2 linked regions of the Oreochromis niloticus genome follow. The protein of the gene in region 1 purifies or fractionates together with the protein of each later gene. This does not show direct contact. Links are inferred from orthologs where the notes say so. Each region holds a gene or a part of one and is shown on either strand. Other genes may lie near its edges. The genes, in order: map2k1 and lamtor3.

Region 1 (8,697 bases):
AACCTCCGGAAGCTCACACGGAGAAACAAGGAGAAAAAGGAGAGAAAACCAAAACACCACATGGAAAATATAAACATAAACATACACTAAAAATACATGAGCCCTGGGTCCCTAGACCCAGGCCATGACATAAAGCAACATATACTTTTCCACCCAAAATGGAGTAAGGTCCTAACTCAATTAGAGCCTCACTTGTTTCACAGTTTGTCATGTCATCAATTGATTAATTCATTTTTCACTCAAAATAGCCTTTTCTCAGTATTTTCCTGAATCATCTTTGGCAGCAATTAGAGCCTCAAGTATTTTTGTGTAGGATGCTACAAGCTTGGCACACCTTTATTTGGGTGGTTTCTCCCAATCTTCTTTGCAAAACTTCACAAGCTACAGCAGGTTGGATGGGGAGCAATGGTGCACTGCCATTTTCAGATCTCTCCAGAGATTGTCATTCCTAAAGTCCTGCTCTGTTCACACATCAGGCCAGGTTTATCCCTTGAACAGAACTATCAATGCCATCTTAATGGATAAAGTCCTCATTTTGTGAGCACTGCCTAGGGGCCAACCTCCAATAGAACCAGTCTCAGGGTGGGGCAGTTATCTGCTATGACCAGTTGGCAGTGAGGGGAGGGGGATGAGAAGACAACTAACTAACTAACTAATTAACTAAGTCATGCTGGTCTTGATTTGTTTATCAGTTTGTTTTGACAGATCTAAGATAGACAGATCTAAAAGTCTTTTTATTCTGTTTGAGTTCATTCAGAGCAGCCAGACATTAGATGTTCTATTGTCTCTTCTTATTTGCCACATATTCAGTGTTTGTTTACTTCCACTTTTTAAAAGTTGTCACATTTGTCAAGGACATTGAATTGGTGCCATGTTTCAAGATCTTGTTTCAGTTCAATTCAGTTCAGCCTCATCTTTTCAATAGCAGTTGGTCTTAATGTATTGATCTTAAGCAGGAATAATGAGCCCTTCAGTTTCTGACTGTAAGCCTGCTGTTTTAAGCCAGCAGCTTGTTTGGTCCACATCTCTGCCATTTATTCATTTCAAATACTGTCCGGAGCATTTTCTTCCCATTTTCTCTTTCATTGTTATAGGGTTTGATGTTTGCCTGCCATTTCTGCTTAGCTGGTGGTTGGCTCATTTTCCATTAGTTGTATCTTTGGCATATTGAGCTCTCTTTTGAATATAACGGCTTCATTAGTGCAGTGATAATGATTTTTTTTTTTTTTTTGTAGTTCTTTCACTATCTTTAGCTTTGTTAAGGAGATTGTCTTCTTTATTTTTGAGGTATGTGTCCAATGTTTTTGTTTTGTTAGTAAGGCCTCTTCCATCTAATGTCTTTAGAGGGTACAGGACATCTTTTCTATCCATCGATCCATCTCATCCTATTCGGGGTCACAGGAAGACTGGAGCCGAATACAGCTGTCAGAGGGAGTAAGTTGTGGTACACCCTAAACAGGTTGCCAGTCTATTGCAGTGGTAACACAGAGACACAGATTCACAGTGACTCGAACAGCCAATTAAGGAATCACCAACTAAACTTCCCCATTGTATTTTATTTTTCCCTGAAATGTTCTTATTTTGGACAGAGTTGAATACTTTCTTGTGGTCAACCAAAAGGAGTAAGATTATTTCTTTTCCCAGTCTTAATCGCCTTCATTATGGCTTTATTAAGTTAAGCCATAATTAAGTAGTTGATCTACATAACTCCTACATAACTACAGTATTTTTGTTTTAGTGCTAGCAAGTTGTTGTCCACCAGATTCTTGTAGGATCTGGCTATTGGTATTCATTTTAAAGTCTTATACAGTGTAGGATTAAGTAGTACCACTTGTTAGCCGACTGCATTAGTCGGGCACTAACAATAAGGAGGCCATCCTTCATGGTTTTCTATGATCGTGTCAGGTTTTCATGTAGTGCTGTTGTTTTAGCCAGAAGCTTGTTACGCCATAATTCCCCAGGGTCTCCCAGTTTCTGGATTTTTCGGATAGCTGTTGTTGTTGCCTCCACTGTTATTTCTGGCTTGTTCACATGTATCTTTGTTTTTTCAAAGGCCTTTATCAACTCAACATTTTCATTATGATGTTCTTCTTTTTCCCAGATATTAGTCCAAATGTTTTGACAGTTTGTTGTTTTTTTTTAAATTAAAATCTGGTATTTCCATGATTATAATATCCTCTTCTTTTAATTCTTGGTGAAACTTTTTTGTTTTTACTTATGAACTCTTCTTTTCCATTTCTTGACATTATTTCCTCGAGTGATTTCAGTGAATATTCAACTTTCACTTCTTGTCTTTTGGTTTTCTTCTTCAATTTATTTTTTTTTCCATTGTCTCTGTTTTGTTTCCTTGTGTCCCCTCCTCCTAATTTTTATGCCTAAGATGTCACTGACTGCAGAGGCAGCGGCATAAAATAATTTGTTCACTTCAGCAAGGGATAGCTTATCATCAAGCCTATTCTTAGAATAGAATAGAAGAATAGAATAGCTTTTTATTGTCACTGTTACAAGAACAGTGAAAGGCAGTTTGGCATCTCTCCATGTGTGTGAAGTACACAATAGCGTAAGTATTTACACAATGACAAATTTACATTTACACAAGAAAGATATGTACAAGTTATACATACACCTGCAAACATACACGCACATACATACATATATGTATATATACATATTTGCATCCGTACATGCATACACACACATATTTCCACATACACACTTACATCTATATACATACACATACATGCCATCTAACTAGCAGGTGCATTGAGAGGTGCAGTGTGATCAGTGATATTGCACATTGAGTGGGGTGGGGGGTGCTGTTGGAACTATACTAAATAATGTTATAATAAATACAGTTTAAAGAGGTAGGGGTGTTGTTTGCATTGAAGTATAAACAGAAATACGATTTATAAATAAGGTGTAATGTCCATGAGTGTTGGCAGTGCAGTTATCCTCCAATCAGGGTGGAGGTAGGGCATGTTTGACAGCCTGTGGGTAAAAACTTCTGTTGAGTCTGTTTGTCTTCGACCTGATGGACCTGTAGCGTTTACCAGAGGGAAGGGGGGAAAAAAGTGAGTGTCCAGGGTGTGAGGGGTCTTTAATGATGATGCTGGCTTTCTGCTGAAGTCTGCCAGTATAGATGTCTCTGAGGGGAGTTAGTGAGGTGCCGATTGCCCGCTCTGCTGCCCTCACCACCCGCTGCAGTTTCCTCTTGTCCTCCGCAGTGCAGCAGTTGAACCAGAGTGTGCAGCAGTAAGTCAGAAGGCTCTCAATGGTGGAGCGGTAGAAGTTTACTAGCAGTCTTTGGGGTAATTGAGCCTGACGTAGTTTCCTGAGGAAGTACAGCCTTTGTTGTGCTTTCCCTACCTGGTGGGAGATGTTTGTGGACCAGGTAAGGTCGGCCGAGATGTGGACTCCGAGAAACTTGAAGCTTTCTACCCTTTCTACCTCCTCCCCATCAATGTAGAGGGTAGAGTGCTCAGATCGCTTTGTTCTTCTGAAGTCGATTACCATCTCCTTGGTCTTGGCTGTGTTCAGATGCAGGTTGTTGTCGTCACACCATTGCTTCAGATGCTGAACCTCCTCTCTGTACGCTGAATCATTGTTGTTGTCGATCAGTCCTATGACAGTGGTGTCATCAGCAAATTTTATAATGGTGTTACTGGTGTGGATAGGTGAACAGTCATGGGTGAAAAGTGAGTATAGGAGGGGACTGAGGACACACCCCTGTGGGACACCCACATTCAGAATGAGGGTGGAGGAGGTGTGCTCTCCCATTCTTACGTTCTGGGGTCTGTTGCTCAGGAAGTCCAGTATCCAGCTGCACAGTGAGCTGCTGAGTCCTAAGTTGCTTAGTTTATTAACCAGTTTGTGGGGTTGAACTGTATTGAAGGCAGAGCTGAAGTCCACAAACAGCATTCTCACATAGGTGTTACTACAGTCCAGGTGTGTGAGGGCTGTGTGAAGAGCTGTTATTATGGCGTCCTCTGTCGACCTGTTTGCCCTGTATGCAAACTGGTGTGGATCGAGGTTTGCAGGGATGGCAGCTTTAATGTGTGACATGATGAGCTGTTCGAAACATTTGGCAATTATGGGTGTTAAAGCAACTGGACGATAGTCATTCAAGCAGCTCACTGTGTTCTTCTTGGGCACTGGAACGATGGTGGCTGACTTAAGGCAGGATGGTACTACAGACTGTAGCAGTGAGAGGTTGAAGATGGTGGCCATGATTAATAGCCATGGCTATTAATAGCCATTAATAGCCATGATTGCTCTATTAGTTATTTGTAATGCTGATTTTGCATGCCTGTCACATTTAATCTTTAGCATTAGTGGTCTTTCATCAGTGTTTCTTTTACAGTCTCCCATTTTCTCAGTATGTTGTTTACCATTTCCTCTACTTTTTCATCAGCACTGTGTTGCATTTGGGTGGTCTGATTCATTTGGTTGGTTTACTTCATCGCTCTGCTCATTTTCCTCAGCACTTAATGCTGCAACATTGTTTTCTTGGTGATTCACATCTCTTCCCCGCTCTTGAGATGCTTCATCTTTTATCCTTTGAATTTCAGTCTCTGTCAGTCTCGTTTTTAATAACGTCCCTTCTGTTGTTTGCAAGGTTATTAGTGGTCATATGAGGTCTTGAAATACACTTCCATCACATATTTTTACTTTTTTTGTCACCATTTAGTTCTAGCTGGTTTTTGATGGTTTTCAGGGAGTCCATTTTGTGGGCCCTCATAAGCATCATACTTATTGCTTAGTGGGGTGATTGTCATTTGCTTGCTGGTTAGAGTTTGTTCCAGTAGCAGACTGTGTGGTTCCCTGTGGAGGAAAGTAGTCCTTTTTTATGTTATGGTAATCTATTAGGTTTTTATGCCATTTTGGACAATGATAGTCAGAGCCTGTTATGTAATATTTTACCATATTTAACATTGGCCATGTTAAATGTGGCCGAAGTTTCGAATAAAGAGGCCAGTATATGTATGAGTAATCCCTGTGAGCCAAAAACTCAGATTTCAGACTACTTTAAGTGCCTGGTTTCAGATAATTTATGTCACTGAGAGTGGATACCCCTGAAAGCACACAGCTCTGGGCCCACCCAATTGTTATTAGAACTTTCAGTTTAGGAGGGGCAGCCAATCCGAAGAAAGAGGCTAAAATGACATGTTTCAAACAGTTTTTAGGATGAAGTGAGTGACTGCATTTCTTATAAATAAAGATAATTTTTGAAAAATGCAAAGCTACTCTAGTTTTGGCTAATATGCTCCCTTTAGTGGAGCGCTTAATTCCCGCCTTCCTGCTCGTTTAAATGAAACTTTAGTAACAGCATGGTAATACCGCCTATCACCAGCAGAGGGAGAGCTGCAGCAAGCCCAGCCACGCTTTCCGGAAGACCAATGAAAATATTTTGTGACGTTTCATTCACCTCCACCCATTAAGAAGAAATCAGCTGCTCAGCCTTGCAGTTCATTACAACCCTTGCCTGTTTCTTCCCTTGTCAGTCACTGCCGATAAACAGTGTCTTCTTAATATCAGATACCTCTTCTGTATCGGGCTTCCGTCTACACTGCTGCAGCTCGTGTGTTGATTTGTTGTTGTTGTTATATATATATTTTTTTTTACACCAGCTTGTTTCTTGCACGTAACATGCAGAAGAGAAGGAAGCCTGAGCCGATCCAACTCAACCCCATCCCTGATGGAAACACTATCAACGGCAGCGGAGCCACAGAGTGAGTGTCAATATTAATCTGCTTCTGATATCCAGATAGGGGAATGTAGTACACAGATAACTGCTTTCTGATACATAACCTGATGTATGTTGGATTCGGTATGACAGCAGCCAATACCGTATGTGTGTGTGCTCGAGTACTCTGCACCAAGTATTTGAGCTTGTCCTCTACTGCAACTATTGATCACTGGCATTGTTATCAGTTGCTGTACTGAGAAAATGAAATATTTTTAAATCTGAAAAGTTACTGACACATGCCCATTAATGGTTCCTCAAATAGCTTATGTGGTTTGGGTTGCATGTTGCATTTTTATAGGTTACAGCATTGATTGATTGATTAATTCATTAGATTTACTCTTCAAGCACAATCCAAGACACACAGATACTCCGTTCAAACTGAAATAAAACAGGGAATAAACAGAGGTTGATCACATTGATAATTTTTTGGCTCTAGAAAATGCTTGAATGTTGTTAAAACAGCCACTAAATCATAATTCAGTAGACTTCAGTGGACTATTTGTTACACACTAATCAGCTATCAAATAGTTAAAGAAGTTTAATTTATAATGATGTAAAATGGAGAAAACTGGAAACTCATTTCACTTTATCATTTCAAGTGCTAAATAGCTGTCAAAATCCTCATGATTTCATTCATTTTTCCTGTTTTACTTCACATTTTCACAAATTATTGTTGTTACTGTGTTTCTCATTATAATATTTCTGTAACATCCGGCTGTCAAGTCCTCTTCGTGGTGTCATGGATGGACAGGTCTCCTTGTTACTCTCACAGCCCACTTGGTGTGATTAGTCAGAGTTAGAGCTTTCCAGCGAGGCAGCACACAGAATTATATTTCTGTCTGCTGAAGAAGTTCTGCAAAGTCCTGCTCCCACCATTGTTTGACAAAACACAGTAATGGAGACATAAAATTGTTTTGACATCCTCCTCTAGCCCTCAGTTTGCTGAGAAAAGCCCAGTGAGTCCTGCAACAAGCTGGATCAGTGGAGATGAGAGTTACATAACATGTCATCGGTTATGATGGCTGCTTTTCTGATGCGTTGTAGAGTCTGAATATATCATTGTTTCGTTGTTAGAGCACACATCTGAAGGCCATCTGTGTCTTTGGCAATGAATTAAAGACTAAAAAAAATGACACTGAGTCATGTTTGAATACCATTTTGCATTAAGCAATGGTAATTTTAAAGCAACAAGAAAGATTTTTTTTTTAATGTGTCCACTAGTCCACCACATTAAGATTTACAAAATACAAAAAAACATTAAAAAAAACAGGAAGGAATATACTTTAAGAAGTTTTCAGTAAGATACAAATTAGAGTAGTAGAAATGTAAAAGTGAGGCCAAAGGTCAAATGACATGACATTTGGATACAAACTATAATGTGGTATTTAAAATCCCCATAAACCAGTATCATTTCTTAACTGTTCCCAGTATTTGAATTTGTAGCATAGCTTGAAAGATGAAATACATTTTATAAAATTTTAACCAGTAAGACACATAGTTTTAAAAATAGCTCTAAAGATCACTATTATCACTTTGACCTTCAGATTAATCTATTGACCTTGGAGAGGTCAAAGGTCATAAGTGACATATTTAAAATCTTTACACAGTATATACAATACACTCTATATGTTGACAATACATGTCACACATGCCATAGGTGTAAAACTTATAGGGCTTTTGTCAGTTTTTGCCCAACAAATCATTTGGTTGACCTTGAAGACCTTGGTGGATGTAAGCCAAATTTGAATGGATTGTTAACATGACCCCACTCTACACCCCTACAAAGTTTTATCAGAATTCATTCAAAACCTTTTGAGTTATCATGTTTATTGATGCAAGGAATGAGACATGTAAATGCTACCAAAAACAGAACCTCCTCTTCTGATTTTTAAAGATTCAGTTTACTTTTAGCCAAGGGCAGATGTTTGACTTTAGCTTGCTTTGATGGAAAGTCTGCTGTAGTTTGAATTCTATTATACTGAATGTAAAGATCTTTTCACTATTAAAATATATATCGGCTGATAATCATGTACATGTAATCCCTGTGAACCTAAAGCTAAGGCTGCTGCAAACATTTTGTTTTTCATTCCTTCTGCCTGGTTGATGTCAATAAGGCAGGAATGTCCTTATATGGGCACAGAAAGAGCCCAAGAATCACCTGAACCTGAACCATTTTTCTTCAGTGTTCTACTTAAGAGTTATCTGCAAGTTCTAGAGCTTGACCAAATACCTTCTTAGTTGCGAAGGAGTGCTAAAAGAGAAAGAAAGAAGGAAAACTGTTTATTTATTTATACATTCTTGTGACATCAAAATGAGCCCAATGCTTATTGAGTAACTCTGATGAAATCCGTTTTGCTGTGGATGTTGTCGCTGTCTGCTCTGTTCTGGATCAGATTTTGAGCTCCAACATGTATGCAAGAATGTGAAAAGTGGACATTGTGTAGGTTTTGTATGTTGGTTTCAGAATTTCTACACTACTGATCAAGCAGGAGAACAACACAAAAGTGGGCTTTTAGAAAGAGGGGCTTTATAGGGACGGGAGCTAAAATGGCTTTTTTTCAGACTGTGAATGAAGTGAGGAGATGCATGAAGGGCTGGTGTACGATGAAAGGGGATTGTATTGAATTGTGAATTGTGTAAAGCTGTAGTAGAGTTAAGGTATGACGTCAGGTACAGTGGTTAGCACTGTTGCCTCGCAGCACATGAATCTTGCGATTGGCTTGCGCCTTCCTTTTTAGAGTTTGCATGTTTTCCATGTGCTTGCATGGGTTTCTTTTGGGTCCTCTTCCCAAAGATCGACTGGTTTGATTCTAAATTGGCCATGGATGTGCAATGTATAACGTGAAGTGCTGTATGAATATGTGGCTAATGTGTGACATGGATGGTCTGTAAGACAGGAAAAGCACAAAAAAATACTGAACGCATAAAAACATGGAGCTTGAAGTGAGCAC
Region 2 (8,346 bases), on another chromosome or scaffold:
ACGACTGCAGGGAGATGACTGTAATGATAGTTGTTCACACAGAGGACTGAGTACGTCGTCGGAACTTCACATTCTTTTATGTCAAATAAACCACACAACCACATGAGCTGTTTCCCAGATAATACAGCGATAATATAAATGCGTCAGTTAATATCTCCTTATTAACCTACAAACACATGATAAAAATAACCAGGCAGGCAAATCGGAAATACACATTAAAATCTCAAACGAAATGACAAACCTTTGAACGACTTTAAAACAAAAACATAACCCTCAGTATCTGGAAAGGGAGATTAAAAAAACATAATCACGTGATTACTTCTTCTTCTTGATTTTAGTGGCTGGCAAACTACAAAGTGTCGCATTAGCGCCACCCACTGGTATAGACCTGAAAGGTGCTCAAAAATCACTTTCTTCTCTTTTTGTAGTACATTGATCACCTTTCACTTTACTGAGCTTGGATCGGTTGCCTATTCTCTATTGGTGTTTTTCGTATTTGATGTAAACTGCACAGAGAAAAACACCAACAGATGAATATATGAATATGTATTCATTATATGAATATGTCTTCCCTCCATCATTCCTTTCTTTTCTTTCCCTAGTTGCTTTTCTACGTTTCCCCAGTTTTGGTCTTATTATGCTCTTTATTTTATCCAGCTGCCGTTGGTAATTAGATCAACTGAAATTCTTTCTTTGGCTTCTTTTACAGCCAAATCTAAATGTTCTTTTCCTTTTATCCCATAATTTGCTGATAAGGGTGGTACATTGTTTCTGTGCTTTGCACTGTCACCTGAGAGCAAAAGATTTTCTGGCTTAAACCCTGGCAGGTTCTCCCTGTGCTTGCAAGGGTTTTCTCCAGCTCCTATGAGACATCCATGTAACATTAAGTGGTCATACTAAACTGGCCAAATGTGAACTAGATCATCTTAAACAGTGTATCTTGATTGTGGCCCTGTAAATTTACCCAGTTCCCAGTGATAATAGTTCTCTTTTGATTTCTAGTGGCATTTCCTTCATCTGTATCTCTAATACTGTTGCTGGGGTTGATTTAAACACAGTGTGCAACGTCTTAGAGGCTCTTATTGAATACAGTTTAACTTGTACAACTGTTGCTGAACCATACCCGAGATCACAGGTATCAAACTCCAGTCCTCAAGGGCCAGTGTCCTGAAACTTTTCCATGTGTCCCTGCTGCAACACACCTGAATAATATAAGTAGGTCATTAGGAAGACTGCAGTCAGCCATTTGATTCATGTTACAGCAGCTCATAAGTGAATGAACATGGTGCAATAAACGTACTTTTAGACTTTACTTCACTTTAATTTACTTCAGTAGGATTAGGGGTTGCCACCTCAGCATGCAGTGGAGTTCTATAGAGTCTTGCAAATGACCTACTAATTTTATTCACATGGAAAAGTTTCAGGACACTGGCCCTTGAGGACTGGAGTTTGACATCCCTGATCAAATACTGATCTGATTGACCCGGTGTATACAAATTTCTATCTATGCCCATTCGCTTCCAACTAAACACCTCGTTACATTTGATACTTTTTTGCATTCTTCTTGCACACATTGCTCCGTTGTCTGCAAAACATGAAATCCTCCAACCCAGGTAGATGAACTGCAGGTGAGTAATCATCCCAGAGAGGGACTTTCCACAAGTATAATTATTTGTTTCTTAGATGGGAGAATATAGGGTGGTACCCTGGTAAGTACAGATAAGTAAACAATGAATAGTTAAACTTGTCCTGTGAGCAAACACTTAGTGACAGTGTAAAGGAAAAACTCCCTTTTAACAATAAGAAACCTCAGGCTAAGGGAGGAGCAGCCATTCTCTACAACCAGTAAAGGGAAAAAGGGAAAGAAGAGAGTAAAGAGAGACAGAATCAAAGGCAAACCATGTAAGAGAGAAATAATCGCTAATTATTAAATGCACCAGTGGTGTATAAACACAAAGAGATTGAAAAGAGATGAATAAAAAAGAAATGCTCAGTCCATCACGGGAAGCTCCCCAGTCTTTTGCAGCATAACTAAGGGGTGGTACAGGGTCACCTGATCCAGCTGATACACTTTATCAAAAATGGGAACCTTAAGCCTAATTTTATAAGTAGAGAGAGCATCTGCCTCCCTAATTGAAGCTGGGACCTAAAAGTAGCGCCTCAAAGCTAAAGGCTATGTTTTCCATTCAACTTTTAAAAAATCTAAGAATCATAAGGAACCCTGCAGTCTGAAAGCAAAGTTAGGATAATGAGGTATGAGGTCTTTAAGACACAGTGGGGCATAATTATTCAAGATTTTGAATTCTCTCTGCTGCAGCCAAAGGCTTCTCAAGCACCTTTCAGAGTGACCTGATGGAACTCTCTAACTGTGTGAAGCTGTGATTAAAACCACTTTGTTGCAGTTACTTTAATACCAACAGTTTGTATCTCTGCAGTAAAATACTGTGCTCAATAGTAATGAATGTTGCACTGAGCATCTAGCAGATGCTGAGTCTAGCAGAACAGGCACAGGGATGAGTTAACTGTCAGAGGCCATAAGAAGACAATTCACTAGTGCTGTTTCTGTGCTATCATGCACTCCACATCCTGACTGAAACCCTTGAAACTGTTCCTATGCAAATGATCAGTGAACTGCTTGACTACTACTCTTTCAAGAATTAAAAAAATAAATAAAACAGGTGCGTCAGCCTACAGTTTTGGGAACAGGTAAGGCATCACCCTTTTACCTGTTCCCATAAAGAAACTGAGACTGCCTCTCTCCTTCTAGTATTCTCTCTGCACAATAAAGGGAGGGTCTGTATGTAAAAGCAGTTCTCTGACCAGACTGCTTCATGTGTATGGCGTGGCAGTGCGATTTTCCACTGTCTTTAATGAAAAATGGTGCTTTTGTCACGGTACTGTGTCTGTGACCCAGTGTTTTGCGTGTTTTAGTTTTCTTCTTTGGTTAGTGTTATTTTCTCAGTGTTTCCTGGTTTATTTTGAAAGAGTCTTGTGTGTCTTTGTCATTGTGTTTCACTTCCCCTGTCTAGTCAGCTGTTTCCCTGTGTGTTTTCACTTCCTCTGATCACCTCCTGTGTGTATTTAAGTCCTCGGTCTTCCTTTGTTCATTGTCAGGTCGTCTGTTTCCCTCCACGTCTCGTCACAGTATTCACAGTCGTCATAGTTGATTCATAGTTCTACAGTCTTGTCACAGTTTTCATAGTTTTTTAGTTTTTCCCAGTTTAGGTTTCAGTTTAGCTGTCGCTCCTTGTTTTGCCTTTGCTCAAATTTTATGTTCATGTCTACCAGCCAAAATAAACGACTCGCTTTTGTTTATGATGGGGAGCTGAGCACCCCTAAAACTCTGAACCTAAATTTGCCCCTCCCCATTCTTACATGATCTAAATTACATTTTCATCTAGGTCAGCGAAAAGAGGTTAGGAATAGACGATAGGAAGTACCTTTAGAGAGTGATGGGATGCACTGTGCCAAGGCTTCGGAGTGTGTGTCGAAATATCCAGGAAGTATTTTATGAAACGTGAATCGAGGCTTGTTTCCTTAAGAGTGAGTGATGTCACTGACGACGCCTGAAGCCTGGCTGGTTCAGAAAGTGGTGGTGTGATTTTTGCTCATATATGGAAAGCCGTGGATTCCTGTAAAATTTGTGTGTTAGTGTTCGTGCTTGGAATCGAGAACTGGTTCTATGGGCTCAAATGTGGTCATAAATATTTTGTACTTGTAAATCAGGATTTGTATGTGTAAAAAGAATTTGTGCGTGCGTAAAAAAGATTTGTATGTGTAAAAAAGATTTGTGTGTGGACTTAGCCAAAAAAAACCCTGCAAGTTACAAGTACGAATTTTGACCCTATTTTTCTTCCTGTCATCTGATTGGTCAGTGTCATGTCAATCACAAATGTAACAATCCAATCAGAGAACAGATGGGTTTGGCTGTCGGAGGGGCACTTTTTTGAACTGCAGGTCCTTGAAGGGTAATACAGTTTGAAGCTGGAGGATCTCTATATAAATATCCGATAGCAGCTAGGTCCCCTTACTTTCAGCAGCTGTTGAAAGGATAAAGTTGTGGTATGTCAGTGGTTAGAAATACCATTATTACTTTAGGATTAGTTTAACACAAAGTCAGGGCTGACCCGGGACCATTGCTGTGAGTCACAGTGCGCAGCATAAAGGTCCTTTCACATCGGACGCAGGATGTGCTGCTAATGCTAACTGCTAACTAAAAGCAAAGGATCCAGAATTTGTTGCGCTGGCTGCTGAGCTCTGTGGGTTTTTGCAGCAGCGCTACCTGTACTAGATGCACCTGCTCCTTGTCGTTTCTATCTCTGACTTTATGTCCTCTACAACAGTTTCTGGTTTTTTTGCTAGTTCTTTAAATGTTCAATAAAAACATGTATGCTAATTCATAACGAAGAAAGCTTTGTAATGAAGACTGTCATTTCCAAAACACTGCCCCCCCCCCCCGCGGTCCGCAGCGCTGTTGAAAAGGCTGTGGAAGTCCCTGTATAAAGCACGTAGACCTGTGACACAAAAATCACCAAACTCGGACGACCACAGACTGTTTTCCTTCGTGGTGATGAAGGAAAACGCTGGGTTGGCATGTAAAAGGGCATTTATTCCCTTCAAGGACCTGCAGTTCAAAAAAGTGCCCCTCCGACAGCCAAACCCATCTGTTCTCTGATTGGATTGTTACATTTGTGATTGACATGACATTGATCAATCAGATGACAGGAAGAAAAATAGGGTCAAAATTCGTACTTGTAACTTGCAGGGGGGTTTTTGGCTAAGTCCACACACAAATCTTTTTTACACATACAAATCTTTTTTACGCACACACAAATTCTTTTTACACATACAAATCTTTTTTACGCACGCACAAATTCTTTTTACACATACAAATCTTTTACACATACAAATCTTTTACACATACAAATCTTTTTTACGCACACACAAATCTTTTTTACACATACAAATCTTTTTTACGCACGCACAAATTCTTTCTACACATACAAATCCTGATTTACAAGTACAAAACTGATTTACAAGTACAAAATATTTATGACCACATTTTGAGCCCATACGGTTCTTGTACAGAACCAGTTCCTGGTAGAACAATTCCTTGGACTCGTTAGTCTGCCAGTCTATCAATGCCGCTGATCGACTCTTGCATTCTCACTACGATCATATGGACATTACTTTTATTTTTATTGTAAAAAAGGATGAGATCGTGATGGTAAAGTGGAGATTGATCCAGGACAGAAACTATTATTATTATACTGTTAAAACAACTTCGGCTCTTTGCAAGCACCTGTGCAGATAGCATGCTAATGCTAAGCTAGCCAAGAACCCAGACTGATGTTAAAGCTGAGTGGATGCTGACCCGTGAAAAAGTCAGCCGCTGCTGAACTTCAACAGATAACAAAGGGATGAGCAGTCAAGGTGCAGCCTCCATTTCTATCTGCTCATGTTTCTACGGTAGAAGCACCATGACAATCACTTTAAAGTGTCTTTGTGCTGGTTTTCATCTTTGCTTTGTGTTGTCAGCTTTGTGTTCATGTCTAAATACTAAGAGAAAGACATGTGTGTTCTCATCAGGATAGGGATTTGTGTTGGTGTGTGGGAATGTAGCCTCTAGGTTTATATTGTTAATTGGTAATTATGAGACAGTGTGTTTCAGATCATTTTACAGACTAACATGAAAGTAACTTAACGAGTAGTATGAAGAATGTCTTTGTCCTGGGTGTAATTAAATAACGTACTGCATTACTTTTAAGGGTTCCTCCACAACCTAATTGGACAGCTAGGATTTAGAAAAACTGACAAACAGCTGGTCTGTTTGCCTAGAAGGCTGAGTAACTTAACATAATCTGCAAAGGCCCTGACAGGGCACAGAGCAGCCTGGTGCCAAGCTACCTCCTGATTGAAGCCCCAAGTGGGAGCTGACTGTAGCTCAACCGACTGGGACAGTTGGAATTCAGACAGGGCCTTCAGCAGGAATGCATTGTTGTACCAGATAATTACCCCTTTCTCGTCAATATGGACTGACAGAGCGTGGGTCTCGCTAATCCTCCTGGCAGATGCTATGGCCACCAAAAAGGCCGTTTTGAGGAAGAGCAATTTCACATCAGCATCCTCAAGTGGGTCAAAGGGAAGACACTGAAGGGTGACAACGACCAACTCCAGGTCCCTTAGGAGAGCCAGGGGTCCAGGCCTGCAAACAGTCCCCAGCGGTAGGAATAGGCAGCCCTTGTGGATGGTGCACAAGACTCCTGCAGAGTTTCTATCACTGGCTCAGGCAGCCCTAAGGCAACGAGCGGAAAAAACACCAGGGCATGCGGATCCAAAGAGGTACCACCAGAATCAACCTCAACCTGTCCTTGGTCTGAACCTGGCAGAGGACAGACTCGAGGAGGGAGAAAGGAGGGAAAGCATAGAGTAGAGTCTGGGGCCAAGGGTGGGCAAGGGCGGCCCGCCCCTTGTCAAGGTAGTTCGGGACCCTGAGGCCCCGTAGGCTCACAGGTGCGAGAACCGTCCGGGGAGTTTCCCCTTTGAACCCGAACCTCAGGAACTGCCCGTGCCCCTGCCAGATTGGTATCTGAAAGTAAGCAGACCTTTTGGTTGATAGTGGCAAAGCAAAAGTGGCAAAAAACAGATTCTTAAATCCGATTAATATTTGACTCTCCAAATCCAAATTTTTGTGGTACTGTGAATAAGAGTTTCCAGTTTACCTCATCAACAGCCTTTTGATGTCCACTGTAACAATAACTGATTCTTTTTTTGTCTGAGAGACTGAGCTAATAAATTTAATAATCTGTGTGTTACTCGGGGAGTGTTGACATTTAATGAAACATGTTTGGTCTTAATATATTAAGCATTTCAATTCTTAATGCTTTACTGATCATTTTCACATACTTATTAATAAGTGAGAGGGGTAGCTGGATAGTTGTGTGGGGTCTTTAAGATAAAGATATAAGTTGAAATCAGTGCTGGCCGGTGGTAACACAATATTTTGGGGGTGGGGGGCAATTGGGTCACACAAAATAAAGCATTTTACAGGTCAGGACAAAAACACAAATTTAAAATCTCCACAAACACTTTAATATTCCTTAAACCTGAGCAATTGAATAAAATTTTAAAACACAAATATTGACACAAATCTTAACGCAAAGTCCCAGCAAAAGTTCACACCAGTCTATGATTCCAGACAGAACGTGCCAGTTTTTGTCGTCTCTTTGGTGTGCTTCAATGTGCTTCTTCTGCCAATTCTATAGCCTTCATCCAGCTGTTCTACTATGTTAAGCCTGCAAAAAATGTGTAGCTTGATGCTATTGTCCAAAGAGCTGCAGCTACTGTCTTGTCTTTTGCACTTTTCTGTTAAGTGCTTTAAGTCCCGTATACCCATGGTGGTCCATAATGTTTTGGCACCAGGACTTTACAACAGCAGACACGGAAAGCAAAAGAAGGTGTTATTCACATTACGTCCCGTAAGCCATCTCCGCTCGTAATATAGCGTGCTGGAGAACGACTGTATATATGCTCTTCCAAGATCCATGGACTGCTGCTGAATATCTGATTCTGGATGGTCGGGTCCAAGCTCTTTAATTCTTTTCTTTTCTTTGGCCGACTGCCTTAAAAATGGACGTTGTACATAAACAACTGAATTTAACTGAATTTAACTTTACCATTTCAGCAGAAGTTGCCATCCTCAGTCAAGAGCTGGCTAACATGTGAGTGCTTGTTCTTCTTCAAGACAAGAGTGCCTGTGCTGTGACAATGTGTGAATGATGATGTTGGATTGTATTGTGTAAACATGTAAATGGTTTAAGGCAACAGCAGAGAGTGTACATTCAGATAAACTGCTGGCTTAGGTTGGCACAATCTTTGAATATGGAAGACAGCAGCTGTGACACCTGCAACATGCAGGGGGTAACTCTGTCTGCTCTACATGCTAACACCCCACTTTTCAGTTATTTATTTGTAAAAAATGTTTGGAATCATGTATGATTTTCGTTCCACTTCTCACGTGTACACCACTTTGTATTGGTCTTTCACCTGGAATTCCAATAAAATTGATTCATGTTTGTGGCTGTAATGTGACAAAATGTGGAAAAGTTCAAGGGGGCCAAATACTTTTGCAAGCCACTGTATATATGTGTCCATATTTTTTGAATGTATACATACACATATACACACAGCATATACACATGTGTCATCCATAGATATAATAATATATATAGTTGCACATAACGACACACAAATACAAGCACACACACAGATGAATCGACAGAGACATACACCCCCACCTGTACTGATACCTCCACATTCACACAAATCTAGGCTCAGCATATGGTT

The links.
Region 2: the proteins of map2k1 (region 1) and lamtor3 purify together in Homo sapiens (affinity purification with western blotting; 3 studies listed by BioGRID, with this or other methods). This does not show direct contact. The link is inferred for Oreochromis niloticus from reciprocal best matches to the Homo sapiens genes MAP2K1 and LAMTOR3.

What each region holds. Positions count from the first base shown.
Region 1 is NC_031972.2:51,630,443-51,639,139, reverse strand, and holds the start of map2k1 (dual specificity mitogen-activated protein kinase kinase 1), read left to right. Parts: upstream 1-5,423; 5' UTR 5,424-5,646; coding exon 5,647-5,729; intron 5,730-8,697. UniProt on the Homo sapiens protein: Dual specificity protein kinase which acts as an essential component of the MAP kinase signal transduction pathway.
Region 2 is NC_031983.2:3,095,013-3,103,358, reverse strand, and holds the start of lamtor3 (ragulator complex protein LAMTOR3), read right to left. Parts: upstream 3,523-8,346; 5' UTR 3,441-3,522; intron 375-3,440; exon of another isoform or gene 242-374; intron 19-241; 5' UTR 1-18. UniProt on the Homo sapiens protein: As part of the Ragulator complex it is involved in amino acid sensing and activation of mTORC1, a signaling complex promoting cell growth in response to growth factors, energy levels, and amino acids.